Nothobranchius furzeri: one gene and its partners. The protein of the gene in region 2 purifies or fractionates together with the protein of the main gene of each other region. This does not show direct contact. Links are inferred from orthologs where the notes say so. Each region holds a gene or a part of one and is shown on either strand. Other genes may lie near its edges. The genes, in order: exosc6, dis3l, gigyf2, eif4e2, exosc1, hbs1l and exosc8.

Evidence for each region.
Region 1: the proteins of dis3l (region 2) and exosc6 purify together in Homo sapiens (affinity purification with mass spectrometry; 3 studies listed by BioGRID and IntAct, with this or other methods). This does not show direct contact. The link is inferred for Nothobranchius furzeri from reciprocal best matches to the Homo sapiens genes DIS3L and EXOSC6.
Region 3: the proteins of dis3l (region 2) and gigyf2 purify together in Homo sapiens (affinity purification with mass spectrometry; 3 studies listed by BioGRID and IntAct, with this or other methods). This does not show direct contact. The link is inferred for Nothobranchius furzeri from reciprocal best matches to the Homo sapiens genes DIS3L and GIGYF2.
Region 4: the proteins of dis3l (region 2) and eif4e2 purify together in Homo sapiens (affinity purification with mass spectrometry; 3 studies listed by BioGRID and IntAct, with this or other methods). This does not show direct contact. The link is inferred for Nothobranchius furzeri from reciprocal best matches to the Homo sapiens genes DIS3L and EIF4E2.
Region 5: the proteins of dis3l (region 2) and exosc1 purify together in Homo sapiens (affinity purification with mass spectrometry; 4 studies listed by BioGRID and IntAct, counting the BioPlex papers as one, with this or other methods). This does not show direct contact. The link is inferred for Nothobranchius furzeri from reciprocal best matches to the Homo sapiens genes DIS3L and EXOSC1.
Region 6: the proteins of dis3l (region 2) and hbs1l purify together in Homo sapiens (affinity purification with mass spectrometry; 5 studies listed by BioGRID and IntAct, with this or other methods). This does not show direct contact. The link is inferred for Nothobranchius furzeri from reciprocal best matches to the Homo sapiens genes DIS3L and HBS1L.
Region 7: the proteins of dis3l (region 2) and exosc8 purify together in Homo sapiens (affinity purification with mass spectrometry; 4 studies listed by BioGRID and IntAct, counting the BioPlex papers as one, with this or other methods). This does not show direct contact. The link is inferred for Nothobranchius furzeri from reciprocal best matches to the Homo sapiens genes DIS3L and EXOSC8.

What each region holds. Positions count from the first base shown.
Region 1 is NC_091744.1:81,855,985-81,859,406, reverse strand, and holds exosc6 (exosome complex component MTR3), read right to left. Parts: upstream 2,296-3,422; 5' UTR 2,248-2,295; coding exon 1,970-2,247; intron 1,102-1,969; coding exon 561-1,101; 3' UTR 501-560; downstream 1-500. UniProt on the Homo sapiens protein: Non-catalytic component of the RNA exosome complex which has 3'->5' exoribonuclease activity and participates in a multitude of cellular RNA processing and degradation events.
Region 2 is NC_091749.1:66,618,705-66,622,765, reverse strand, and holds the start of dis3l (DIS3-like exonuclease 1), read left to right. Parts: upstream 1-1,261; 5' UTR 1,262-1,397; coding exon 1,398-1,527; intron 1,528-3,117; coding exon 3,118-3,268; intron 3,269-4,061. UniProt on the Homo sapiens protein: Catalytic component of the RNA exosome complex which has 3'->5' exoribonuclease activity and participates in a multitude of cellular RNA processing and degradation events.
Region 3 is NC_091751.1:53,327,342-53,330,841, reverse strand, and holds part of gigyf2 (GRB10-interacting GYF protein 2), read right to left. Parts: intron 3,132-3,500; coding exon 3,008-3,131; intron 2,914-3,007; coding exon 2,873-2,913; intron 2,768-2,872; coding exon 2,732-2,767; intron 2,574-2,731; coding exon 2,397-2,573; intron 1,809-2,396; coding exon 1,597-1,808; intron 1,500-1,596; coding exon 1,352-1,499; intron 1-1,351. UniProt on the Homo sapiens protein: Key component of the 4EHP-GYF2 complex, a multiprotein complex that acts as a repressor of translation initiation. In the 4EHP-GYF2 complex, acts as a factor that bridges EIF4E2 to ZFP36/TTP, linking translation repression with mRNA decay.
Region 4 is NC_091751.1:56,212,946-56,217,023, forward strand, and holds the start of eif4e2 (eukaryotic translation initiation factor 4E type 2), read right to left. Parts: upstream 2,801-4,078; 5' UTR 2,682-2,800; coding exon 2,662-2,681; intron 1,959-2,661; coding exon 1,847-1,958; intron 1,769-1,846; coding exon 1,634-1,768; intron 1,556-1,633; coding exon 1,451-1,555; intron 1,360-1,450; coding exon 1,207-1,359; intron 1,124-1,206; coding exon 987-1,123; coding exon of another isoform or gene 983-986; intron 1-982. UniProt on the Homo sapiens protein: Recognizes and binds the 7-methylguanosine-containing mRNA cap during an early step in the initiation. Acts as a repressor of translation initiation.
Region 5 is NC_091746.1:82,291,581-82,295,654, forward strand, and holds the end of exosc1 (exosome complex component CSL4), read right to left. Parts: intron 3,146-4,074; coding exon 3,057-3,145; intron 2,986-3,056; coding exon 2,952-2,985; intron 2,865-2,951; coding exon 2,814-2,864; intron 2,590-2,813; coding exon 2,505-2,589; intron 1,134-2,504; coding exon 1,027-1,133; 3' UTR 501-1,026; downstream 1-500. Other genes in the region: knop1 (lysine-rich nucleolar protein 1), read left to right, coding at 1-124. UniProt on the Homo sapiens protein: Non-catalytic component of the RNA exosome complex which has 3'->5' exoribonuclease activity and participates in a multitude of cellular RNA processing and degradation events.
Region 6 is NC_091742.1:466,625-470,124, reverse strand, and holds part of hbs1l (HBS1-like protein), read right to left. Parts: intron 1,186-3,500; coding exon 1,077-1,185; intron 1,003-1,076; coding exon 761-1,002; intron 213-760; coding exon 47-212; intron 1-46. UniProt on the Homo sapiens protein: GTPase component of the Pelota-HBS1L complex, a complex that recognizes stalled ribosomes and triggers the No-Go Decay (NGD) pathway.
Region 7 is NC_091750.1:62,637,214-62,641,254, reverse strand, and holds exosc8 (exosome complex component RRP43), read right to left. Parts: upstream 2,701-4,041; 5' UTR 2,636-2,700; coding exon 2,619-2,635; intron 2,356-2,618; coding exon 2,319-2,355; intron 2,222-2,318; coding exon 2,158-2,221; intron 1,973-2,157; coding exon 1,899-1,972; intron 1,825-1,898; coding exon 1,779-1,824; intron 1,645-1,778; coding exon 1,539-1,644; intron 1,456-1,538; coding exon 1,410-1,455; intron 1,336-1,409; coding exon 1,239-1,335; intron 1,159-1,238; coding exon 1,038-1,158; intron 950-1,037; coding exon 843-949; intron 721-842; coding exon 602-720; 3' UTR 501-601; downstream 1-500. UniProt on the Homo sapiens protein: Non-catalytic component of the RNA exosome complex which has 3'->5' exoribonuclease activity and participates in a multitude of cellular RNA processing and degradation events.

The DNA of each region.
Region 1 (3,422 bases), on a different chromosome or scaffold from region 2:
GTCATTCTCTTGTCAAATTCCCAACAGAAAAATAAAGAACTTTACCTCCTTTTGTGTTTTCTGTGGTTCTGACCCAGCTCTTCTTGAGCTCCTGTTCCAGGTGAGTGGGACACGTTTGTCCAGAACGTCCCACAGATCTGTAGTCAAGCTGGTTTTTTAGGTTGATTAAAGACTAAAGGGTTCCAGAAAAGGATCACAGAAGCAAAAACTAGAAATATTCCGGTGGAAAAGGTAAATAAACACCGGATATGTTAGTTTAACTTTAAGACTTCGTTTAGGTTTAGTTTCTAACTGGCTTGTATTAGAAGAAATAATTGGAGGACATTTGAAGTAGAACAGATTGTTGGTGCACAGCGCCCTCTGGTGGTGGTGTTCAGGTGCACAGCGCCCTCTGGTGGTGAGAGGCTCTCGACAGGAAGAGGGAATTTCAAACTAATTATTTTTTTTACCTTTTCATGAATCAGAATTTTTTTGTGTGTCAACCAGATTAAAGACCAACACAAAGTTAGCTATTTTATTACATATTAAACTCGTCAAACGCTGAGCTGTTGGAGCGTCTCTCAGGTAGACGGGGGCGCCGCCCGGCGGACCGCTTTGGTCAAGACCTTTTGGATAACCGGGTAAAGTTTGTAGCATCCTTCGATGCAGGTCCGAACCCCCGCAGTCAGGGTCTCCTCAGACATCTCACCGTCGGACTGCAGCCCAGAAATCTGGTTCAGACTGGGCAGGAAGGCCACTGTGAGCCCGCCCCGGCTCTCGCTGCTGTTACACCTCCAGCCGTTCTCCTCCAGGTAGGACGGGTCGACCACGTAGGAGCTCCCAACCTGCTGGAGGGAACATCCGAGCACCAAGTCGTACATCTCAATCCCCGCATCCGCGAGCGCGAGGGAGGCACAGGTGACGGCGTGGGCCAGGGCTGAGCCGCTGTTCTCCAGAACCATCACGCTGACGTCGATCTGAGAGCGCGGGTATCTCTGGAGGCACACGGCCGGCTGCAGGCTCTCGTGCAGCATCAGAGACAGGTCCTTGTCCTGGCTGCCCTGGATCCACGGGACCCTCTCTGGGCAGGAAAAAGGGGCGAAACGCACATCAGTGGTCAGCCTGGAAGCAGAAACGCACATAGGATCATTTTCCCAAACAAAACCATCCCAAACATTACAATCCGATGAAAATAATCTTCTGTTTTCAGGTTAAGTAAAGGAAAATGATCGAGTCGCTTGGAAAACTGATAAAAACAAATTCCTGTTGGTTGAGCTAATTTGCTTTATTGGGTTAAAATTTGATTTAAAAAAAAGTTAGATAAATCTCTTCAAGTCTACAATCATTTCGCCTTGCTGCCACCGGAGGGCGCGATATCTGATGAGTTAAGTGCTGTAGCTAGCTGCTGATGCTCCCTGCTTTAGCTTGTTGATTTAATCCTGTTTAACTCATAGATGTATTAAGTTTTAAGAGTTACGTAGTTTGTATATGTGCACACGCTCTGACTTTCTCGTTATCTACACTAATTGTGCTGTTGGCACCAATTAAAAAACTTAAAAGTGGTTTGTTTTATTTTGAGGGGTTAGTCTCGTGGAAGCTGTAACTGCTTTTGTCCGCCAGAGGGCGGAAAAGTCCATATTCTCGGAAGCCTGCTACTAAAAGACTGAATTATCTTGTTTATATCCAGTTGACCTAAATAATTCAAATAACTAACTAATCTGACATGTTTGATTGTAAATTGCCTGGTCTGGGAACACCTTTGGCTCTCCTAGGCTGAGTTAAGAGTGTCACTGGGAAGGAGTTCACCTACATCACCTGGCCTAGGGTAAGTTAAGGATTCAAATCTCCCTCTAGCCGCCAGAACATTTGCTCTTTCTACCAATGGGAAGGTTTGATGATCACAAAAAACACTCGAACTTCACTTTCGAACACATGAACAATCAGGCTGAACCTGTCGAGCAGAAAACGTGATTGTGATAAAGCAGCGTACCTCCCACTTTTCATATCGGTCTCGTCTTTCCGATCGGTTTCTCGGGGTCCGTAAACGCAGCTGATCAGCTTCGTGTTTCCAGCTTCGATGTAAGCGGAACCTTTAGCTTGACTCACCAGGCCGCAGCGGACGAAGACCGGCCGGACGTCAACTTGGTCCCGCTGCCGACCGTCTTCTCGGGGCCCACGCGAGGCTAGAACCGCAGCGGGTTTGTACCCGAGCAGCACGGGGCTCTGAGAAACGTCCGGACCACGAACCCGCTTCGTATCTGTCGGCATGGTGCATGCGGAAGTGGATCGCTCATAAATGTGTCCCCAAAGAACTACAACGGGAGTGGAAAAGTTCCCTCAAATTTTAGTTCCTACTGTGTTCCGGAAAAGTTCCCTCAAATTTTAGTTCCTACTGTGTTCCGGAAAAGTTCCCTCAAATTTTAGTTCCTACTGTGTTCCGCAATGTTTCATCAGCTTTTTTTTTCTTATGTAGTTTAAAGCGATGCAACAAACTGTTGTTGTATTTTAAAAGTATTTAAGTCACACACTATACCAGTCAATAATGTTATAGTTACCTTGCAGTTTATTAAAGCCCAGAAATGTATTAAAATTTCAAAATAAAATTCTGATTAATAAATGACTCTATTCACTTTGGATTCATGTTATTAAAAAGGACAATGTTGGACAAAGTTCTTAATAGTAAATACATAAGAGATTTACATACCGTCTAACAACAGGATTGGCTGCATAGTGTTTACTGTTAGCCTCAAGGGTAACCTGCTGGCTTGATTTTCACCTGTAAGTCGCTTTGGACAAAAGCGTCTGCTAAATACATAAACATAAAAATAATTCAGTCACACTTGAGACATATTTTCTATGACTAAATATTGATATTTATATTTTTTATTTAAGATCTTTTCATCAGAAGACACGGTATCGTTGTATAATTATTACTTCATTTAATAAATTCAAATATATGTAAAAGTAAAAAATGGTGTAGGTTTAATTATTTCTTTGCTAACACTTCATTTGTGGTAATGACAGGTGTTAGCCAGAAGAGGGCGACAGTTACCCAGCAACCAAAGATTAAAAACCTGCAAGACAATTCACTGCTTTGTAATGTTGAATTTGCTGGATGTACCGCAACAACCATACTATGTATATATAAACATATATGTATTTATATACATACATATGGCTATAACTAACAAATCCAAAATGTCCTTCTCATTGGTTTTAAATAACTTTATTTTCAAACTTACACAATTCTGACACGTATTAAGTTTTAGTGAGGCGGCCAAAGACATTTTTACCTGTAGAAAGTCGTTCATACACAGCAGCGTTAACTCATTATTTTACTACGTTGCATTTAAAAAACGCTATGTAATAAATTAGTGCGAATGTCTAAATTAAAGGCAAATTGAATCATAGATGTGCCTTGCGCACATACTTGCGCAGCGCAA
Region 2 (4,061 bases):
TTGTAGACCCCAACAACATTTCATAGGCTGTACAAAGGCTCAAAAAACAGTTTCTAGTTGTAAAAAAAATGTTTTGGGTCTTTTTAAAATTGTATATAAATGTAATATCCTCTGGTGGCAAGAATAAGCTCACGGAGAGTGGGTTGTTCTTTGGGAATATTTATTACTCCAACACAGGTACAGCCATGCTTCCCGGCAACGAACTTCCGCTTGTCTAATGTTAAAGTACACCCCACTTTGCATCCAGAACACTAGGTCCACCTAGAGGCTTCCTGTAAAATGTTTAACCTCTCACAATACTACAATAAATTCATCACATGAATCATAAAAGATTTGCTGTTTGCCACAGAGGGGGGAAAAAAAGTGCTGATGACAGAATTTCCTGTTTAGTATTCTAACCAGAAAAGGTGTTCAATACTAGGCTAGTAAAACTAGACCAGATTCCTCCCTTTTAAGTTTAAATACAAATAATATACTTATTTAGTCTGGCTTGCCAGGCTAGTTCAACACAGATACCTTTAAGCAAACATTTAACTGTTTTGTGAACAATTTTTTAATGTGAAACTTTTCCAGATAAAAGTGTTTTTAATCAACCCCTAGAACATATTTTGTAAACGTCGTCTTTTTGTTTATTTCAGAAAATTCTGGTAAATTCAAAAACCTTTTGAAAAACACCTGAAGAATTTCTGTTTGCGGGACAGAAGAGAATCCATGAGTTTTCTTTTGTCCGACAGTACATGAACGCAAAAGGACAGCACCAACCGTGGCTCCGACTCTCTCAACACGGAAACAGGTGTTGTGCCGAAAGGAGCATGCCTGCCGAAATGCGTATCCCCATGAAATAAGCATAGAGGTAAACTAGAATACTTTATGAGCGACGAGGCTAACACGCTTCTGTTACGTGTTTTTCGTGAAAGCGTTTTGTTTTTGTTTACAAATATGATGAAATAGTTATAAAAAAATTACGTTTTTGAACGTTTGAGAATAATGTTTTAGTGAGCATTTTTTATGTATTTTTGTGCTTTCTCCCAACTATTTTGTTGTTGGTTCTTAAAAAACACACGTGACACAAAATTACTCATTTTAAAATATTTATTACTACTTTATTACTATTTCTTCAAATAAAAATGTTTTAAACATAAATTTCTTTAATTTATCTGCCTACAAACGATCTTTTTGTAAGGAATCACGCAGATAAACATAATAATATTACATTAATAGTACTTTTTAAGCGCCTTTCCACAACGGGGATGCACATTTCGCCAGGCATGCTCTTTTCGGCACAACACTTGGAGCTTCCCTCTCACAAGTCCGCCAAAACATAGTCTTCACTTTAAAGTTCCGGTTTGTAAACTTTGGGTCAGCGGCTGCTGATCCATTTCGGTTCAGAGTTCGGGATGATTAAAACCGAGAAGATTCTGCACCTGAAGAGTTACCGAGGCCGGAGGGTTCGGGTGGTTCGGGAGCACTATCTGAGGGAGCGGGTTCCCTGCTTCAGCTCTCTGTGTCAGGCGGCCTGTGCTAACGGTAAGTCCGCCAAAACACACAACTAGTTGCTAAAAACACACAAACAGCCGTTTAAAACACAACTAGTCGTTACAAACACAACCAGTCTATAAAACACACTACTAGTCGCAAAAAACAAACAAAAATAACTAAATAAACCGGCCGATAAAACACATCTAGTCGCTAAAAACACAGCCAGCCACTAAGAGCTAACGAGTGTTTTATTTCCAGTCCTTCATTTATTAAACCTTTATTTATTTTTATTTAACCAGATGAGTCGATTGAGAGCTCATTCTCGTTTACAGAGATGATCTGGCCAAGATGCAGCAGCAACAGACACATAGTTAGCTTTACACTAAAGAAAAACAGATAAGATAAAAACATACAAGATAAAACAGTTAGACATAAAGACAAAGGACTGTTCTATTATATAATATGTACCAGCGATCCAAACAGACTTAAAACTGTCTTTAATGTGCCAGTGTGTATTTTTCCTGGTTGATGGGGAGCAGTAGACACCTAAAACATTGCAAGCAAGCAGCATTTTTGTGTTGGAGTAAGACCTTACCAACGGATGCCTATTAGGGTCAAAAAGCCCTGAGGAGTGCAAACTTCAGGAAAATGACAAGCACATCAGACCTCCTTTCATCAGTGGCAACAAGTGAAGAGATAAATGTGTAAAACAATGTTTATTAATAGTGAAAGTTTTATAATCGTTTGTTACTAATCAGTAAATGCATGGACGTAATTGGGGGGGGGGGGGGGGGCATGTCCCTCCCCACTTTTTCCAACGTCAAGTTTTGACCCCTGCACATTTTACCATCCAAAAACAATATTACGCTATACTAAATTGACACTGGTTGAGCTCTAGGACCAAGCAGAAACCAACCGTTTGTGTTGAGACCTGTTTCCCATTAGAGCATACTGTAAAGATTTTTTTTGATTCATTTAAACAAAATTTTGCTTTAAACTTCATTTTCTCCAACAGATTTAACAAGCAGATTGGTTAAACTTGATTTGATGACTCGGACTGGAGCTGTTGGGCTGCGCAGTGGTGCAGTGGTTAGAGCTGTTGCCTTGCAGCAAGAAGGTCCTGGGTTCGCTTCCCGGCCTGGGATCCTTCTGCATGGAGTTTGCATGGTCTCATTTTGCATGCGTGGGTTCTCTCTGGGTACTCCGGCTTCCTCCCACAGTACAAAAACATGACTATTAGGTTGATTGGTCTGTCTAAATTGTCCTTATGTGTGTGTGTGTGTGTGCATGATTGTTTGTCCTGTGTGTCTCTGTGTTGCCCTGCGATGGACTGGCTCTCTGTCCAGGGTGTACCTTGCCTAATTGCCCGTTGACTGCTGGAGATGGGCACCAGCCCCCCCGCGACCCTACATGGACAAAGCGGGTTCAGAAGATGGATGGATGGATGGATTGGAGCTGTTGGTAGACTCACATTCTTGTCCAACCGAACGTTAGAGGACCGATATAATTTAATATTTGTATTTTCTCTGATGGATTTATTATCACAGGTAGATCAGTGTAACAGAACATCTGATTTCTGTATAAAACAGTGAATATGTTGTGTGTAGCCATGGTAACGACCTGATGACCCCTCAACAGATGGCAAGGTGTTGCCCGGAGACTTGACCCACTATGTGGTGCCGGGGGTGGAGGTGGTGGTCAACTTCCTGGAGATCCTGGAATTCAGGGAGCTGCAGGGAGTCATCTTCACCCAGACGGCCTGCCAGGCTCTGCAGAGTAAAGGGCGCAGGTACAACACACACAAACACACACACACATAGAGGGTGAAGTGGGTTGTCTGAAGAACTCCAGTCTACCGTCTTTTTTTATTCCAAAGTGATGGAGAACATCTCATAAGTTTTCCTGACAAACCATTAGCAGCTGGTTCTGGTGTGTGTGTGTGTGTGTGTGTGAGAGAGAGAGAGAGAGAGAGAGAGAGAGAGAGAGAGAGAGAGAGAGAGAGAGAGAGAGAGAGAGAGAGAGAGAGAGAGAGAGAGAGAGAGAGAGAGAGAGAGAGAGAGAGAGAGAGAGAGAGAGAGAGAGAGAGAGAGAGAGAGAGAGAGAGAGAGAGAGAGAGAGAGAGAGAGAGAGAGAGAGAGAGAGAGAGAGAGAGAGAGAGAGAGAGAGAGAGAGAGAGAGAGAGAGAGAGAGAGAGAGAGAGAGAGAGAGAGAGAGAGAGAGAGAGAGAGAGAGAGAGAGAGAGAGAGATCGGCTGGCGGGATGATGTAGAGTGATATCTGCTGTAGGAAAATGCAATCAGCAAGGGCACAAAAACAAAACACGCTCAAAGATAGCGACAGAGCTCGAGACTAGGTCATATACCCAAACGAGTTAATCATCCGACGTCGTGTAGGTCTCAGACTGCCCCTCATATAGCCAGCCGGTGATTGCAGCTGAGTGGCTGCAGCTGGGCAGTTCTCCGGCACCGCCCACCTGCAGGAGAAGGGTTAGTGTGGGGAACAATATACCTCAGGCCATGACAGCTTGACCTTCTCTGGAACCGAAGCCTTTAGGAAAAGCAGCGGTTGCCGTCCGACCAGACC
Region 3 (3,500 bases), on a different chromosome or scaffold from region 2:
ACTTTAAGTATCTGCTGATAACAGAGACCTGATCCAACACTTTTCAGCAAAGCATTAAAGTAAGAAGACAGAAGGATTCTCAGATACTCCTGTTTGGGGACGGAGGAGTCAGCCGGAGGAGAAAGAAGCTTCAAACAAAGTCTTATTTCCTGATATTCGGACATCTCGCCTCTGATTGGATAACAGCAACACGACTCCACCACTGACTCAGTTTGCTCTGCAACACCGATATTTTATCTCCACAAATAACACAAGGAGTTCTGTCGTGTGGTGGAGTTGCTAATGCTAACAGTTAGCTTCTGCTAGTCGAGATGTTCTCTGCCGTTTCCTGGACGCAACATCAACAGCCTTCCCGTCACGAGCCAAATGGGTATGAATGTGTGTGTGAATCACTGATTGTGTTGTAAAGCGCCTTGGGGGGCTCTAGAAGGAGCTACGTCAAATACAGGCCAAATGGATGAGTCCGTGAATGTTAACAGACATTGTGTCGTACATCTGCACCGAGAACTTTTCCAGGCTATTTTCACGTGATTGGATCATCTCTCATTTCACCACTTTTACACAAAAACACATTGTTTATGTTTATTACCAGGGTTTCAAAACACATCAAGGCTGTTTTAAAAACAATTATTTCCTTTTTAGCTATTAACATAAACCTAAATGAAAAAATTGATTCTACCCAACAGAGAAAAAAGTATTTATAGCGACTTTCCAACCAACAAAAAAGATGACTAAACTCTACTATGTTGCCTTCATAACAGCTTATTGTTTGTGTTCACTTGGCCTTTACTGACACTCCCTCATTCCTCTCTTGCCCCTTTGGCTCTCTGAGCTACCGGCAATTTTTATTTGCAAGCACAAACTATCAAACAACGCCTGAGCGCAGAGATTATGATGGGATTAAAATTTGTCGTCAGCAGGTAATCTCATCGTTTCAAATAGGCCGTTTTAAATGTTAACATCCAAGCAGCTTTTGAGGTAAAAACACAGAAAATGTGTCACCTTCTTTATGTGATGCAACAACCAGGGTAAAAAACTTGTTTCCCAACTTAAACAGAAACACCATGAAGGTCAAAAAGTGACTCAAATTACTCAGGAGACGCAGCGGTGAATCAGACTAGCTTAGATGATTTTTCATATAGATTATACATTTATTCTGCAACAATTCCTGTTAAAATAAAGTGTGAATGATCAGGAACATGTTTTACTATTAAACTTGTCTATTGTATCTTTTTACTTCCTTGGAATTATTTTGAAAACTGGGTTTAGTTTGAATTTGACCTTTAAATGATCTAATACCAACATATTTATCAATAAGAGAATCAAAAGTCAGATTATCAACACTACTGACCTTTTCTGTCTGCTTCCCTTTTGGCTTCTTTTTCTGATTCTTTGGTTTCCCTGGTCGGGGTATCCAGCTCCTCCAGGCCTTCGTCACACTCCTCCAAGGGTCTGAAGTCGAGCTCTGCTTCTTCTGGAATCGGTTCCTTTGAGGCTTTCTGATTACAAAATGACAATGTGGGGGGGGGGGGGGGACTATTGTCATAAACTTCTCAGTAATCTTTAAATAATCATTTGAGGAAAGTATCTGATTACCTTATGAGAGAGAAAGGCTCCAGAAGAGTCAAATGTGCCTGCCTCTTCATCTGCATCCTCTAGACACCACTCGGGTAAGCTGTCCCTCTCGTCATCCAAGCTGCCGCTGCCAGACCTCTGCCTTCTGTAGCCGCGCTCGTCTTCTCTTGCATCAAACGGAAAATGTCGACGCTGCTCCGGAAGTTCCCGCCAGCCTGCTGACCGAGGCCCATCTGGGGAAAAATGCCACATAAAAGGAAAACTAAAACAAAATCCCACATGTTCACTCCAGACAACGGGAGAAATAACACACATGTAAACACAATCATCTGAATGTTTGTTCTGCATTTTGCATGAATGTAAATCTTGTTGCAGTGCGTTCTGTTCCAGGAAAAGCTGCTGTAATCCAGGCACATAAATCTAAGGCAAAAGCCTCCATTAGATTCCGTTAGCTCAGTTAGCTCTTAGCTTCATCAGCTCAGAGTTTGTTGGGTGTCAACCACCTGCCCCCACCCCCACAGCCTCGACCCTAGCTCCATTATTATATTACCCTGGAGCGATGAGACACGTGATGCAGCCAAGATGGCGGTTGTGGGAACTGCCCACTGGGCTTTAATTCAGCTCTTCATAAAGCTACGAGTGACGGCGGAGGACTGGTCTATCTAACATTTAGTCTTTGGGCTGAACAAAAAAGCACCTTTAGGCCAAACGGGAAGCACGACAAAGACAAGAGATAACACACCCTTTCACTTATCAAAACTTATTATTTCGACAAGATGAATGTATGGGTAATGCTTTTGTCTTTCATTTTTAGCGCCCACCTGGGCTCGGGGGGCACCACCGGTCGTTCTCCCATTGAGAACCCAGCAGGCGCCAGCCCCCCTCATCACCCTCACCGTTCTGATCGTCTCGAGTAGTACGCCAGTTTTCACTCTCTGAACGCGTAAAGTCGTGCTTCCTTGGGAGTCCTGTCCCTCCGTCCTCATATGGGCCTCGAACTGTAAAAACACCACATTAGAACACCAGGTGATGGAGTGGGGGGTGCCGTTAGGATGAGAAACCCCAGGGAATTAACATTTTAACATCTATATGATGTAAATGATGGCATGATTTGGCTAAGAACCCAGAACTTTCAGAGGAATGCTTTTTAACTCACTGTGATTGATCTGAAAATGCCCCGGAGCAACATCAGCTACAACGACAGAGAAGAGCAAACAGGTGAGCTGGCCAACTTGCCCAAAAAAATGTTTGAGTATTGATTTTTTTTTCTGTTTTCACAACAAAATGTGACACCAACCTGGGTCCTTTCGACCTGGCTTTTCAAATCGTCGGTCCCCCCTAATAAATGGGGAAAAAAAAGAAACGTTTAGTCTTGACTAAAAATATATAGAAGAGATATGTGCAATATCAGGAAAAGATCTGGATTTATCACATTTTTTCATTCCAATACCGTTCCTCCCAGCTTTGAGAACGGTGCATTTCCCTTCCTCCGCGACCAAAACCTTCAACGTCATCAAAACTTCTTTGGTAAAACCCTCCGTCTCCTCTTCCCCGCCCTGAAATCAAAAGATGAAATACATCAAATGATAAAATTCAAAAGTTTGGATAAAAGCTGAATCCTGATACTGTACCAGCCTAATCCTTATTTATTTTGAATAAAAAAAGAGCTGAATCATCCTTCGACGAAGGATGATTCACGAAGTTCGTGAAGGTGCAATGCAACTGAGGGGACCCACCGAGCCACCATGCATATAAAACGGTGCAAAATATATGAAAGGTGCATAAAAAAAATGCACACAGTCTGTTTATAAATGAAATGGAATTTTAAGCTGTTAAAAACAATAGTCGTCTCTTATGGCACACGCCTTCCTCTGGTGCTGATATGGTTTGGAAAAATGTTGACAAAAATTGTTTGTGCTCTACGT
Region 4 (4,078 bases), on a different chromosome or scaffold from region 2:
AGGAGATGATTTTAGACTTCAGAAGAAACAGGGTGGAGTCAAACACTGTTTCCATCATGGGAGAAGAAGTGGAGGTAGTTGAGGAACACAAATACCTTGGAGTTCACCTGGACAACAGACTGGACTGGAGAAAGAACAACCAAGCTGTTTACAAGAAGGGACACAGCAGACTGCACTTCTTGAGGATGCTTCAATGTCTGTAGCAAGATGCTACAGATCTTCTACAAGTCTGTTGTTGAGAGTGTAATCTCTTCAGCCATCATCTGTTGGGGTAGTAGCATCAGAAGCAGGGACCTGAAAAGGCTCAACAGCCTAATAAAAAAGGCTGGTTCTGTTCTGGCGATGACTGTGGAACCGCTGGAGGAGATAATGCAAAGAAGGATTCTCCAGAGAATCAAGAAAATTATGGACAACCCTGAGCATTCTCTTCACAAGACTGTCAGACAACGGAAGGGTGTCTTCAGTCAGAGGCTTCTTCAGCTTCGCTGCAATACTGACCGCTACTGGAGATCCTTCCTGCCAACAGCCATTGTGATATACTCTTTGATGACTTGATTATTATTATTATTCTGAGCTACTACAGAAATCAATTTCCCTCTGGGAATAATAAAGTATTTTTGAATTGAATTGAACTCTAGTTATAACCAAACAACTAATTATTTTACATCCAGATTTTGCAATTTCTCTCAGATACAAAGAATGGTTGCTACAACATCTAGCTTCCATCACAACACATCTCATTATTCATATCTTGTCATGTATAAATTGTTAGTTTAGGAAAAATAATTAAATTAATTTTATAAACTATATACCCGACTCTGTCTGAATTGATACGAAGTGTGATCATGGTCCCTAAAGAGGCAAAGGACCCTAGAATCTTCTGATTAAATATTCAAAGATCAATCAGATTGATATTTCATTTTTATATGGAATCATCACATCTTATTGGTCGTAATTAGAATGTTTTAATTGCTACACCTACATACTTAATGCTGTCTGTGTGAGTCTTGTACTCCATGATGGTGTTGGGAGGCAGGTTGAGGACTCTACGTAGGGTGTCTCTGATGCGGGCTGTGGTCGCTTGGTCACTAGCTGTTTTGTTCCAGATAGAAATGATGTCCTCCTGAATAAAATGAAGTACATAAAAAGACGTTTCAGTGCAATGGGATCCAGCAGTTACATACAACATTGTGTTATTTGATTTACCTGGAATCGTACCGACACCACCGCCCCACAGATCTCCTCCCCTACCATGAACTGCTCCCCCAGCATGGCCAGAATCAGGTTCTCCCAACATCGGGACGCGAGGCCTTTCCTTAAACGAATGATCCACTTTCCACCCATTTTATTGGCATCATCCTAAACATGCAAGGGGTTTCAAATACGCCTTAGTACACAGAAAACAAAAAACGTTCTACTAAAGTATACAATTACTGCGACAGACACCTACTTCCCACATGGGTTTAATGCCTTCTTTGAAGAGGTGGAAGTCACTATGACCTGTCAGATCACCAGGCCTGATCATGTGACTGTAGAAACGCCAGAACTGCTCCACCTTGACAAGAATAAGCCACAAAATTAAATATGTGAACATGAAACAGCTGAAGCTGAAGTATAAACAAAAGTCCTTTACCGAGGCAAAGCTGCCAATCTGTTTGATGTTCTGCTCATAGCTCTGGGTGCTAGCTGGTCTGCCTGGGGTCCGCCTGGAGTACCAGAAGGTGTAGTTGTACTGAAGAGGGTGCTCTCCTGCCCCTGGAACCACCATCTGTAAAGGACATGGACAAATGTAAATACAGGAGCATATTTATCTACAGTAGAAACAATGCTCTGTAATCAGCCATACTTTTTTCTTGATAATAATTTGCTCCTTGTCATCGTCTTCGATCTTTTCCTTTTCGCTGTCTTTCGGTGATCCCTGATCCTGCTCATGATCTCCACTGTCATCGTCTTTCAGCCTGGATTAGACACAAACCATCAGATATTCATACGTCTGTCAGAAGACACTTTAATGTAAAGCCAAGTGCAGTTAACTCTAGATTATCATGATAAATGATAATATCTAAATATGTAAAAAAAAAAAAAAAGGATCAAAACTAACCAGCTGGCCTCAAAGACCCACGTCAAAACAACGCTATTTAAAAAACTTTACGTCTTAAATCTTGAAATTTTATTTATTTATTTTAAATTAACCCCAATTAAGAATCACACAAAAACAGCACCGGTATCATCACTTTTAGCAGTAAAAAGTCAGAATTTGCTCCCGTCTGTGCTCGTGATGAAGGCCGTGGGAATCTGGTTCTAGTCGATTCTGTGTGCACCTCCTCCGGCGTCCCAACTACTCACACACCGGGGATTAGCGGCCTACCCGCTTTCAGACATGCTAAGCTAAAAGCACACACACTCACAAGACAATTATTTGTATCAAAACCTTTACTTATTTAAAATATCACTATATTTTATGAAAAATCCACTCGCTAAAGTGAACGTAAGTTGTCCACCTCAGCCAACGGCATATCGAACTACCATGCTATAAACCTGACACACCTCTCATTTAACGCACAATTCAGCTTTCATTAACGTTCTAGCTTTCTCTGAGTTGTTTAAAACAACGGGAAGGTCGTGCGATGCCACATAATCAAATATAAAGCCTTAACTCACGCGTCAAATTTGTTGTTCATTATTTTTTAGTCAGGAGTCTGTCGGAGTCCAAATTCTGCCTCCTGAGTTCCGCAGGAACGGCGACGCACATCTTACACACATGAACGCGCACGCAGTGATGAGTCGGAATCGGAAAAGAAGTCAGCAGGTGGCACGCGCTGCTGTCAAATGTAGTGTTGTCCAAAAGTTATATTTTAAGTGGCTTGAATGAGATTAGTCGGTTTTCCTAAAGTGTGTTCTTGGACCTTGGCACTCATCACTGAACTATTCAGTAATTAAATATTTCCAAACTCAAGGGATGAACCAGTAAATGAGTCTCAATTGCAACAAGTCATATGACGTTCGTGTAATCCTATTTATTTAGGTAAAACTATAAAAATATCTCCCCAAAACAGTTCACACATAAAATGACTTTTAGCATGAACAGAATTGACAGATTATGTAAAATTGTCATAGATGATCCATCTCTCATGTCCTTCTGTAACAGAGCTTTGCAACTTTTACATCCTTGAAAAAATATATTACATGTTCTATTTAAGTAACTTCTTAAATGTGATCATTAGTCTTTTTCATTACCATTTTCCTGTTTTTCAGGAAGAAGCACAATATGCAGAGTAAACTAAAAGTGAGTGAAAATTCAGCCAAAGTTTAAAAATAACTAATCAGATGTATAACTTTACAAAACACCTGGCTCCTCTGAAGTGTAAGACAGTTGTAGCTGAAAACGTTTGCACAGCTGTGACCCTGGTGCAGAAACACAACATCAAATCCAAGTTACGTTTGAACATTTTATTCACCACATGTTGATATTTTCAAGCATAATAAATAAGAAAAAGTACCACTCGGATCACTTTTTTACAGCTTTGTCAAAATCTGCTCCTCCCGGCTTGAGTGACTAGGAACCTGGTGACTTCAGCTCACGGATATGGACGGCTACGAGCAGACACCCACATACACACAACAGCACATGTGCAGCCGCAACACAGAGAACCGACGGCCTCTTTGTTTGAACTCACATCCTCTGATGTGCCGCAGTACTTGTTTCATCCCTTCGCTTGCCCTCTGTTCTTGCGGCGACTTCAAACCGTGGCTCTGTTCAGGTCCAAGCAGAGCTCTGGACAAAGTCTGGGGGACCACAGAGGAGGTGGAGGGTGAGATGGGAACAAAGTGGACTTCTATTGATGCAAGTTGGATCAGTTTTTGTTATAGATGCGAGCCGATTTGTGGGTAAATAACCAAAATACCGGCTTGTGTCTAGAAACAACACTGCAAACTTCATAAGACGCATTATGTATGTGTGGGTGGGGGGATGGTGTGGTGGTGAACAGGATGCTCTAGGATGGTATGGCATGGCGTGGTTTGGTTGGCTCCGCAGTTGCAGACCATACCCTCACCCCTTGCTCCCTGTGTTTCTGTG
Region 5 (4,074 bases), on a different chromosome or scaffold from region 2:
GCGAGCCCACTCACGCAGAATGGACTTCAGTAAAAAGGGGGCGGGGCTTGGGTTTAACGCCCCACCCAATAAAAAGTTCTTCATTGATGTCAATGCAAGTCGATCAATTCGCTTTGATGACTGATCAGGAAGGTGGATGTTTGGATAAACCTTTTTTTTTTATATCAGCGTTGTAAATGAGTTCAGTCTCGTTAGTTTCACTTTAGAGGTGATCGAATGTTGGCTGAGTTGTACAAAATGTAGATGAAACCATCAGTGTCAAAACCGGATTATGTAAAACAATTCAAAGCAACGCCTCTGTTAGTGTGAATATTTTAGTTTTAATGGCTTTGATACATTTTGATGTTTTGAAAAATAAATCTACAAAACCAAAGTTTGCCATTTAATTCTAAATGTGACACATGAATTATGATGTTCAGTAAGTTACAAAATGTTTAATTTGAAGGATTGTAGAAAACAATTGAATAGTTAGGTGCACAAAGCAGGAACTGCAGACAAAGTAGAATCAGTCATTTTAATTTATTGTACTTTTGAAAGTTAAACAGCAAAGTACATTTTCGTAAAAGGCAAGGCTTATGTACGGTTGACTCAGTTATATACAGGAAGGTAACTTAACGTTTCATTATTTTCTACGCTGTAGCTGCATCAAACATTTGGTTTAGCGCTGGGCTTTCCAACAGTGAACAAATGTCTTCATCAGCTTTAAGCCCAAGACAGCAAAACACCAGCACGATTTGTGACGAACCATAAAGCGTAGAGCTCTTCCAGCTACCGTTACTGGCCCTTTCCAAAAATAAAAATCATGTTTAACTTCTGTGTTCTTGGGTCTGCTGGTAAAAAACTAACTGCTATTGTTTACCAGTCAGAAAAGCACAATGAAAGGATGACAAAATGTGCAGCTGTTTGAAACACTTAAACCAGAAGTGGCCCGTGAATCACATGATGCACAGAAAAACAAAAGCTGGAGCAGGAGCTGCTTGAAGGAAGATGGAAGTTGCGTGTACCAAGTGAAGACTGTCCAGGCTGTCACGCTTCCAAATACTCAGGCTGGACTCGAGCCACTTTACGAAACTCTTTGGCGTGAGTCAACGGACACTGCATCTCGCACCAGCTGATGGGAATCATCTGGGCTCCTGGTTCAGGGGAAAATGTGGTAAAAATGTTAGAAACATGCAGAAAAATGGGAAGTTATTTACAAGAAAAGAAAGTAGGGAAAATACGACGGAAAACACCTGTTTTCATGTCAGCAATATTAAAAGGCTCTTACACTTTTTCCAAATGCAAATTTGGTAAATGGCCTGTATTTGATATAGTGCCTTCTAGAGTCCTGGAACCCCCCAATGCGCTTTACAACACAATCAGTCATTCACCCATTCACACGCTGGTGGGGATGCGCTACGATGTAGCCACAGCTGCCCTGGGGCGCACTGACAGAGGCGAGGCTGCCGAGCACTGGCGCCACCGGTCCCTCTGACCACCACCAGCAGGCAAGGGGGGTTAGGTGTCTTGCCCAAGGACACAACGACAGACTGAGTGGGGCTCGAACCTGCGATTACGGGGCGAGCACTTAACCCTTTTGCCACCATGGCCCAATTTAGACCTGTTGAGAATTTTTGAGGCTTTCCAGCTATGTGTTCAAGCTGAAACCATTTCACACATGAAACCAGTACTTTACTTTTAGAAATCTATTTTATTTATTTAAAGGCAGCTTGAATGAATGAATGTTAATGCTACAAGTTCTGCTGAAGCTTTTAATGGCCTACACATCAAAACATGTATGTGAACAAAAAACAATGAACAATTACTTTAAAAGAATTGTTAGAAAAAAATCTAAACATTCAAGAGTAATTTTTTTATTTTATTTTATTTTTTTTTCGAAAAAATTACCATAAGATCACATATGTACATTTAGAAGTGCAGTGAAGAACTTTGCTACAAACCTGCCATATTTAGTCCTATACATGTCTACTGCCCCCTGGTGGCGGCTCTACAGATGGTGAGGGCCAAATTTTTTTTCTTTATTATTGTTATATTTTATTTAACTCTATTATTATATAACATAGGACACAAGATAAAGAAATATCTTTGAATAAAATAGTTCTTAAAAATAGATAATTATTAGTTGATGATTTACAAAATGAATTCAACTACATTTTTAAGAAGCTTAAAGTATTTTTGGCCAATTTTAAGCACTTTTCAAACCTTGAAAATACGATAAGAAATGTTTTCAAGCGCAAATAATTAGCTACTAAATCAGATAGATAATATCTTTGCATTTGGTCGGAAATTGAGAGTAATAATATTTAGCTATGATGAAAATAACACTAGAGAATTAATCAGTAATGCTGTCATTATGGAAGTTAATAATGTTACTTAAGTTCTAATCAGAAATCTTTTCCTCCCACTTTGGACCCCCTGCTGTTCCTGCAGAACCTGAGTGAGCTGGTCAGATCTGAGCAGCTGTTTAGTTTGGAAAGATGAAGTGAAAGAGGTGAGGAACGTACCTGCCTCGCTGTGGGCCACCACCACACCCAGTTCATTCTCAGCTGTTGTTAACAAGTAGTTAGACTGAATGTCACCGAGAGAAATCTGACATCAAAGGTCAAGATTAGTAATCAGTAACGTTCAGACTGAAGCACCGGAGTCAGTAGTAACATGTGAACATTGTTTGCTGTCATTTCTAAGATTCATTCATTCATTTTGTCCCATTCAGCTCAGCAAATTTTACAGGTCCCAATGAAACTGGGTTATGAGCTGAAAATAGCTTTTAAATTTGTTTGGTTTTCTTTCTTGGAGAGCTTGTTGAAGGATACCACTTTAGCCAAAACAATGTCGCCCGTTCTGAAGCTTTTGTATATCTCCACCTGTAAACAAAACAGAACCATCAGTAAGGAAACAGAAGGAGCAAAAATAAGTAAACAATCCAAGTAAAAGTACGAATTCTAGCTCACTTTATCCTTCTCTGTTGCTCGCACGTCTTCTTTCCTGTAGATACGGAGAGAGTGAGCTAAGAGTTTAGGAAAGTTAATCAAACTGGATTTACGTAGTGAGGTTACCTGATGGTCCCTCTGAAGCGGTCCTTCAGCGGTGTGGAACCCACATACAGGATGTGGACTTTGGCAAACCTGGGGTTGGTGCTGGTCACCTTTAAAAGACAAGTTAGTAAAAGGCAAACCTGAACACAAAGTACTGACATCTGTGAATGCACTGGCTGTCCCCGTCTTGAGTTTTAGTGCACGTTTCAGATATGATCATCTGAGTTTAACTGGTGTAAAAAATGATAAAGAGCTTAACTTAAATGTTTCTTTTGGTCATTTGTATGATGTTTATTATGTTGCACTTTGTTTGTTTTTAAGGTGATTTATGAATACATTTTATTTGAAAAGGCACTTTTTTTTCTTGATTTGTGTAAAAAAAAACACCCCCTAAATACATATAATACAAAAATAACTGTCCTTAAAGGGACTTTACAGAGGTTTGATGCTTTTTTTATGCTCGCGATCGCCCCCCTCAGGCCAAAAGCGTAACGGCAGCTTCAATAGTAGGCTCGTGCACGAGGCGTGCATGCTGTACGTGCACACTCCTTAACGAAAATAACAGCTGAGGCAGTCCCTTGTGTGTGTGTGTGTGTGTGTGTGTGGCCCGGAGGACAGAGGATAGGAGAACACGCAGCTAATTAATTAAATAATGTGGTTCTGTACCTTTCTCTTCAGCACAGCCGACAAAGGTTTATGATGGGTCAGTCCTCCTGCATGCTCAGATCATTCCCTTCCCTTGCTTGAAAAATTGTTCCAAAATGAAAGTTGAACCCACATCTTTTTTATCTGTGAATTCAATGCCGTTCGGCGAGTCTCAAATAAAAATTTGGGTATCTTACTGTAAAAAATATACCATTAATGTAAAAAAGAAACTAATTAAACTATGTTTACATCCAGAATCGAACCCGGGTCTTCTGCACGAGAGTCCAACATCTTAATAGGTGAGCTAAAGCGCCAGTGATGTCCTTTGTATCTGTAACGTTTATATCCTTGATGACAGCTGAAACAACGTTCAAAGAACGGTTCGGAGCGAAAA
Region 6 (3,500 bases), on a different chromosome or scaffold from region 2:
GTATATTTGACTTGTTCTTTGTGTAGTTGTAACAGTCTGGGTCTACCTGTCCCTCTCCTCGCCAGTTTCATCCAGAACCCATGCGTAGGCAAAGGAGGCTTTTCCTGCCTTTTTTGACTCCTGCTCGTACTTGTGCATGGTGCGCTTGTTGACGTTGCCCAGCAGATAAAGTAGGTGGCCCATTAATGTGCTCTTACCAGCATCCACATGACCTGAAGAGGATGGAAAAAATGAGTTATGAAGGTATCAAAGAGAGGATGTTTGAGGACCTGATGATGGGGAAAGCGAAGATAAAAGAAAGAGGAAGAATTAGCGAAAGATGATAAGGCTGGTGAAAGGAGGAGGCAAGATAAAACAAGGAGAAGGGAAACCGGGGAGGAGGAAATAAGAATTGCACAAGTGAAGAGAGGCAGACACATATGGGGGGGGGTAGGGGGGGTTGACCAGAGCAACACGAAAGGTTTCATTCTCTGTGGGAAGCTAGAATCATCTGCAATTCTGAAACTACACCGTCACATTTTCTGGTCTGAGAATGAGAAAATACGGCTGAGTAACTGTGCCAGTGTGAGGTTAACTCGTTTGACATTAGAACACCAAACATGGAGAACCTCAGAGTGCAACTAATCATTTTCCAGCACCGGCTCAGTGCAACAAACATGCTCAGTATCAAAAAATGATTCCCTGCAGATTTGCTGCCTTTCTAAGCTTCAGGCTTTGTTTTTATTTGAATTTATTGCATCTTACGGTCTTTGCATCCTACCTATAACTACTAGGTTTAAAAGTGGTTTTCCCTGTTGTCTCTTCTCCAGCTCTGCCTTGATGTTGATCGTCTGACGGGACTTCCCAGTAGAGCGTCCCGGTGTGGCACCAGAAGGGGTCTCGTCCCCATTGGACCCTTTAGACGGAGTCTCGGGTCGTTTCAAGGTGGCTTCAGGAACAGCTGCATTCTCCGGGCTGCCACCTCGCCGCACCGACGTAACCACAAGCCCGTTCTCCCCTGTGCTGAAGACAAATGTAAGGTGCTAAATACAGAACTAATCCCCACTTGAATCTTGCAGAGAGTGGTTCTTAGATACCTCGGAACATCGAATCCCATGGTCTGCTTCTTCCCAGAAACGGTCATGCGGGCCACTTTGGGTACCACTTCAGATTCCAGTTTGTTGTGCAACAAATCTCTGCTTTTGGCTGAAGGGATCAAAGAGCAGATGAAAGCATCCATGATCGGCTGACACGTTCAACACAGGGAGCAAATTCCACATCATAAATCAAATTCAATGTGTGATTTTAAAAAGTAAAATATTCAGGACTGGGATTATTGTTCTAAGATTATCTTGATGCCATTGTTCATTTGTGTTTTCTTTGTGTAGGTCACAGAAATAGGCCTTTTCCAACAGCACTACTCAGCATGACTCGGGAGGGTGTGGTTCAGTTTGGCCGCCTTTTCCAACACCTTTCCCCCTACGCTTCAGTCCCTGCTTCGTCGTGGTTCCGATGGCTGAGTAGCAGCGGCAGCAGAGACTCACATGGCAGCACAAAAGGATGTAAAACAAGTTTTGTAATATGTCGCCCTTAAATATAATTTTTCCGTTTTAGAACAAGCCAACCTTGCATTTTCTTACTTAGTTTAATCTTGCAGTGCTGAGAGACACAACAGATAAAAACCAGTCAAAGCTGTACTTTGGCTTGCAAAGTGTGTTTCTTTGATTGGAGTGAGAGTCCCTGGTGCAACCGGCTGTAGCACAAGCCTCCCCTATCTGACTGGAAGCTCATATTCTTTAGCACTGAAACTTCTTGAGGTAAACGCTGTGTCATTCCAGACGCGAATGGTCCCCATTTCCAGTCATATCGACCCGTTTCTGATTCATTCAGCCTGGGCTGCACAGTCAAGCCTCCTGCACACCGAGTGCATGTGTGTGAGAGTCTGTTTGCATCTGACATCCTGGCTCACAAAGGGTTAATTTCAGAAGTGGCCGTTGCCTCCCGTCTCCACGTAAATAGCTCTGGGTGACGCAGCACTTTCACAGAATGAATCTTGGGTTAAGGTGTCAACTCAGCAGGCGCACAAGGCTGGACGTGAAAGAGTTTCATCAGAAATTCAGTAAGAGCAGGTTAAAACCTGACTGGTTTCAGGTTGAAAAACTGAAACTGATTCAACTTTTATTGCTTTTTTACTGGAACACTTTGGTTGCAAAGCTAAAAGTGAGACTAGTCACAAACTAATGCAACAAGAAATACTCTGAGGGTAAACAAGAGGGAAGAGGTATAATACAGCAGCACATTAATGGACTTTCTCTAACCAAGCACTCTCTAAATGACTTGTTCTGCACTGAAGAAAAAGTCCCTTTCATAATGAAACACTGATATACAGCTCACTGCACCCTGATGAGGCTTTTCTCCCCTTTTAAATTCAGGCCACCCCAGTTAGACGCTTATTCCCACATACTCTGATCTATGTATGCATGTGGGAGAAAGAATTGAGCACATTTGTCATTATTTTATTATAAAACCAACAAAAACCTTTCTTATTATCACAAAAAGTGCAAAGTATATTAAAAATCTACAAGATGCATGCAAAAATAATTGGTACATCTAATCTGCACAGAAAATGAGCAAATAAACAAAGCTTTTGATTATTAGATAATGAAAAATAAAGCTTTTATTGTCCCTGATTCAAATATTTCAGGTTCGACTGGACAAAATGAACCATCCATCTTTGTTTCTGTGAGGAAAAAAGGCCAAAAGATAATGACAGAAATGTAGAACCAGCTAATTTATTAATTATGTGACACATTTAGGTAAACCTCAATAAAACTTGTTACCTGATCCATCATAGATATCAAACTACACTCCCCTGACATCCTAACCAATGAAAACACAGTAATGCTTTTGCAAACAATGAAACTACAAACTCATTTTTCTTTTTTCTTTCAGCCAGCCTCGGGGCAGCATTAACTACAGGGTGGCGTGAAAACAGATCAAGACGATCATGCTTCGAGGCTCGGAGCAGGATCTCTTTAGTGTTTGGACAATGAGGCAGACGCTTGGCATGCTCCCATACAGGATTTCTCTGGAATACTGGGACCCTTGCTGTGAGTCATCAGCATGCTTTGGCCTCAGGATTGAACTTAGTACACATAAAAGAAGGAGTCCACCCAGGATATGCAAACATGCAGCATCCCTCTGCCTCTTCAGTTCAAATAAACACGCGAGTGCAGATGAAAGTAAAATGACAGAAGTACACGGACCAACTGGGGTGAAGGAAATACTCGAATTCTACAATCCCACAACAGCACAGCTGCTGTTGATTATTAATACTTACAAATATTTCCTTAAATTTAATTGGTAATTAAAATAATTAAAAATACAACAACAAAGAATTCGACTATTTTAAAGCTCCATACCACTAGAGACCGCCAAAGGCAACAAATATTCAATTTTTCTTGTCATGAGGGGAAAACGAGGGGGAAATTTTTGATCTAACCTAATCTGGTTTATTTCAA
Region 7 (4,041 bases), on a different chromosome or scaffold from region 2:
TTTATGATTTGGTTCTCAGATGTTTTCTGAAAACCAAACCTTTGTCCACTGTGGGGGAACTGGTTTCTACAGCAGGAAGCCCGAAGCTCTAAGAGCCTTGGTGATATTTTTTTTCAGATGATCAAGAAGAAGACGGGTCTTGTAGGTAACGAGCTTCCACGGTTACATATTTCTACTTTCGGAAGACTTTTCTCTGCCGAGGCCCTGTGGAGTGAGAGGACATTTTAAAGAGAATTTCGCATGAGGCTGCCCTTTAAGCACAGATTAGCAACACCAAGCCGTCCACGTGTCCACGACGTGAAAATGCAAATCTGATCTTGGGGAGTATTCCGGCGCAGGGCTCACGCGAGGACTCAGAGTCATCATGCAAGACGGCGTGCGTTTGTACAGCAGATTTTCAAAAGGTGTTACCTTTTAACAAGGAGCCATGAGCATATTCTTACATGAATTAAGACATCAGCTAAGTGTGCGTGAGACATTTCTGGACACTGAAAAGATAATTTTTTTAAGTCTTTGTCAGCAGTTTTATTGTTATTAAAAAAGAATATATATTGACAGTGGAAAATACAACTTTTAGATAAAAAATGTTGTCTGAGTGTATTTATTGAGCTGTCTTCATGCTTTTTATGACTTTCTCAATAAGTTTGTGGATCTCTCCCTTTCGTGCCGTTGCTCTTTTGATGCACTCCTGCAGCTTCTCTCCCGACAGTGGCGTTCCACCTGGAGGCAAAGTTTGCAGAGCCTTTTATCCCCGTTTTCTCAAAATACTCAAAATAATCTGAAGCTTTATTTCATGGCAGAAGCACCACAAATCTAAAGATCACAGATGTGCCATCTCTGACCTGGTTTATGTAAGGAGCACAGCTGATCTTCCTCATCCATCACCACAGTGAGGCGTGCCGTCGACAGGCTCTCCTCCTCGGCGGTGGGGTCTACGATCAGTATGGAGCTGCACAGGAAAACCAAAAAGGCTTAAAGAAGAACAAAATGGCACTTGTACCTAAAATAAAAATTGAATTGAAATCAAACAAACGTACTCATCAAAGATGCAAAAGGAGACGCTGACTGGATGTCGGTGAATGTTAAGTTTGTGTTTCTTTTCAAAATTCACCTCCGGGGCGGACGTCTCTTTGTTGATGGTGACTTCTGGGAGTTGTGCTGCAGGGAAAGATTACTAAAAGATAGATTTATTTTATTTATTACATGCACCGTTTCAGTAAAGTCTCAACCCTACTTACTGGTTTTCAGGGCAGCCAGAAGGGCGACAACACAAGCATCTAGGATGTTCCCGTCATAGTCGAGACACATGATGTCACAGTAGAGGACCCAGCAGAGCTGCAACAAGATTTAGCAGAATTATGATTGAATATATTACAACAAATAAAGTCCACACATGAGTCTAAAATCACCTTTCCTCGGCCAATGCACAAGTCTTCTTTCTTGATCACCTCAGAGCTGCACGACACATGAAGGTTAAGTCAAAGCAGTGGCAGAAACACTACAGCTGGAAACTAAAGGTGTTTGAAGGCTTAACACACCTCTCAATGATATCAGCGATGAACTGGCTGGCAGCCTGGGCCTGTTCCCCTGGTGGGCCTGGTCGGAAGCGGGACGAACACAGGGGTGGCAGGTCTACATTGGGCACTTTTTTAAAACATATATAGACAGATGATGATGTCATAATAAAATACAGAATCAAACAGAAAATACGAGATAAAGAATTAAGCAATGAAAACCTGATGGAAACAAGGAGGCTGTAAAATGTGTTCAGAACTTACCTATGTAACCTTTACCAGGTGCATCCACAGTAGGGTTAGTCAGCTCCTGCATATGAACACATGACTTTAACACCTAAAGAAATCTTAGCAGTAGCGGTTTGAGTCATTGTGCACCAGTACCGCTTTGATGCCACAGATGATCGTGGTGTTTCCCAGCTTTACCAGAGCGGAGCCGTCTGCAGTGGAAATAGACCCTGAACAGAAAATAAGTAAAAACTGTTACAGCTGGCAGTGATCAGCCCTTTAGGCACTGGAAAATGTTGGAGTTGAAAAAATATGAGCCGACTCATTTTGTATTAGAAGTACATATTATTTTATTTACATCATATCTAAAATTATGTTTTATTACAGGGAGGAAACATTTAATTTATTTTCTTACCAATGTTTAAGGTTGTACTTCTAAATTCAGACAACTCCCGCCCATCAGGTCTACAATTTTCTTTCTGCAAATGAAGCATTTGCAATTACAATGACACTAATAACAATAATAATAACATTTATGGGTTTCTACTGGGTATAGTTTGTATGTATTTGACGAACCAAAAAGCTCCTGTGATACTCCAGAGGCTCCGCCGTCCTGAAAGTTTAAAGAAATTAAATAAGACAAATTAGTAACAAACACGTGCGATCCTGCAATAAACAGCAGACCGATAAATCTAACAAATAAAGTGTACTATCCCGTCACTAGCCCAACTGACGTCACAGAAATGTTGTTTCTGTATTTTTTGACAAGCAAACTAAATTTAGATATAACACTGAACATTAAATATATCGATGATATATATTTGATGAAAATCAAAGTCTGAATATAAAGAAAAATACATGTTAAAAATGACTTACTTGAAACCAGCCGCCATGATGTTTTGATTACCCACGTGAACTACGGTGGCCGCGACGAAACTGTGATTACCAACGACAAGTGTGCATTACCGCCACCAACTGGACTGGAGTTCGGAAATGAACGAAAAACTGGCCAACAAATTCGTCTTTTTCAAAAATGAGTTGGTGTTGTAAGGTCAATAAAACTTTCAAATTGATAACCGGTCACAATTAATAAAGATTAAATAAAACTCGATATATTAATTTGCTAAACAAACAATATTGTAGTGTTTAAACAATTGACAGTGAATAAATATTCCTTACAAACTCCTCTTTCCTAACCGAACAATCCAGAGCAAAATTGTGGATTCTCTTATGTCTTCAAACTGAACTTTTTAGTTAGAATGGTTTGGATCATTCTTTTAAAATACAAAATTAAACTGTTAAACAAGTCATGTGTTTTGATGTTGGTGTGTGTGTGTGTGTGTGTGCGTGCGTGCGTGCGTGCGTGTGTGTGTGTGTGTGTGTGTGTGTGTGTGTGTGTGTGTGTGTGTGTGTGTGTGTGTGTGTGTGTGTGTGTGTGTGTGTGTGTGAGCAGTGCATGCATGGCAACTCGGTTTTCTGATTATTTTCTGCTTTACTGTTTTCTTTACTCAACCTCAAACGAGCAGTTAGATATCTGAAGATTGTCTTGGTCTGTTGATGTTTTGTTGCATTAACCCTCTGATGCATGAATTATGAAATCTTCAACCATGATTTTTTAAACTATTTTTTTCATTCATCTTTAGGTGTGAATGAAACAAATTTCAACAAATATTTTTTGTACCATTTTGTTAATTTACAAATACTTTATTACATGTCCATCTCAGTGGACAATGTGCATTCTGAACATGAAATATGGTGGCTTGACTTACTGAAGTCCAAATGGAAGGGCTCATATGCAATAAAGTCTTCAACAGCTGTGCTTAATAGCAAAAATAAATAAATAACAATTTTGAGTAACTGTCCACTGTAGTGACCGTTATGCACCAAAGGGTTAAGCAGCAAAATAAGCTCAGTTTTTGTGCTGGAGCAGGGAAACAAGTAAAACATGATGGATATGGAATATCGAGGCCCAGGGTTAGAGAGGTGGTGTAAAAAATAGGCGTCATTGCTTTTTAACTTCACTAGCTGGTGGGCCGGTCTCGGCTCAAAACGAACTGGCTGATTTTTTGTCCCAGTCCAGCCCTGTTGGGGACCCATGGTCGGAAATAGATGGGTGTGACTTAGCTTCCCATTGAGCGTGAGACACGTGTCTGACCCCTTTCACACACCTCCTCGTGCATGGAAACCATCACAAGTTGGCAGCCCTGTAGAAAATAACTTAGTTCTCTTGCATTACTCACCTTCTGTTATTCTATCAAAGCTGTTATAACAAATCTGTTAGTAAGCTGGGTTTTGAGAA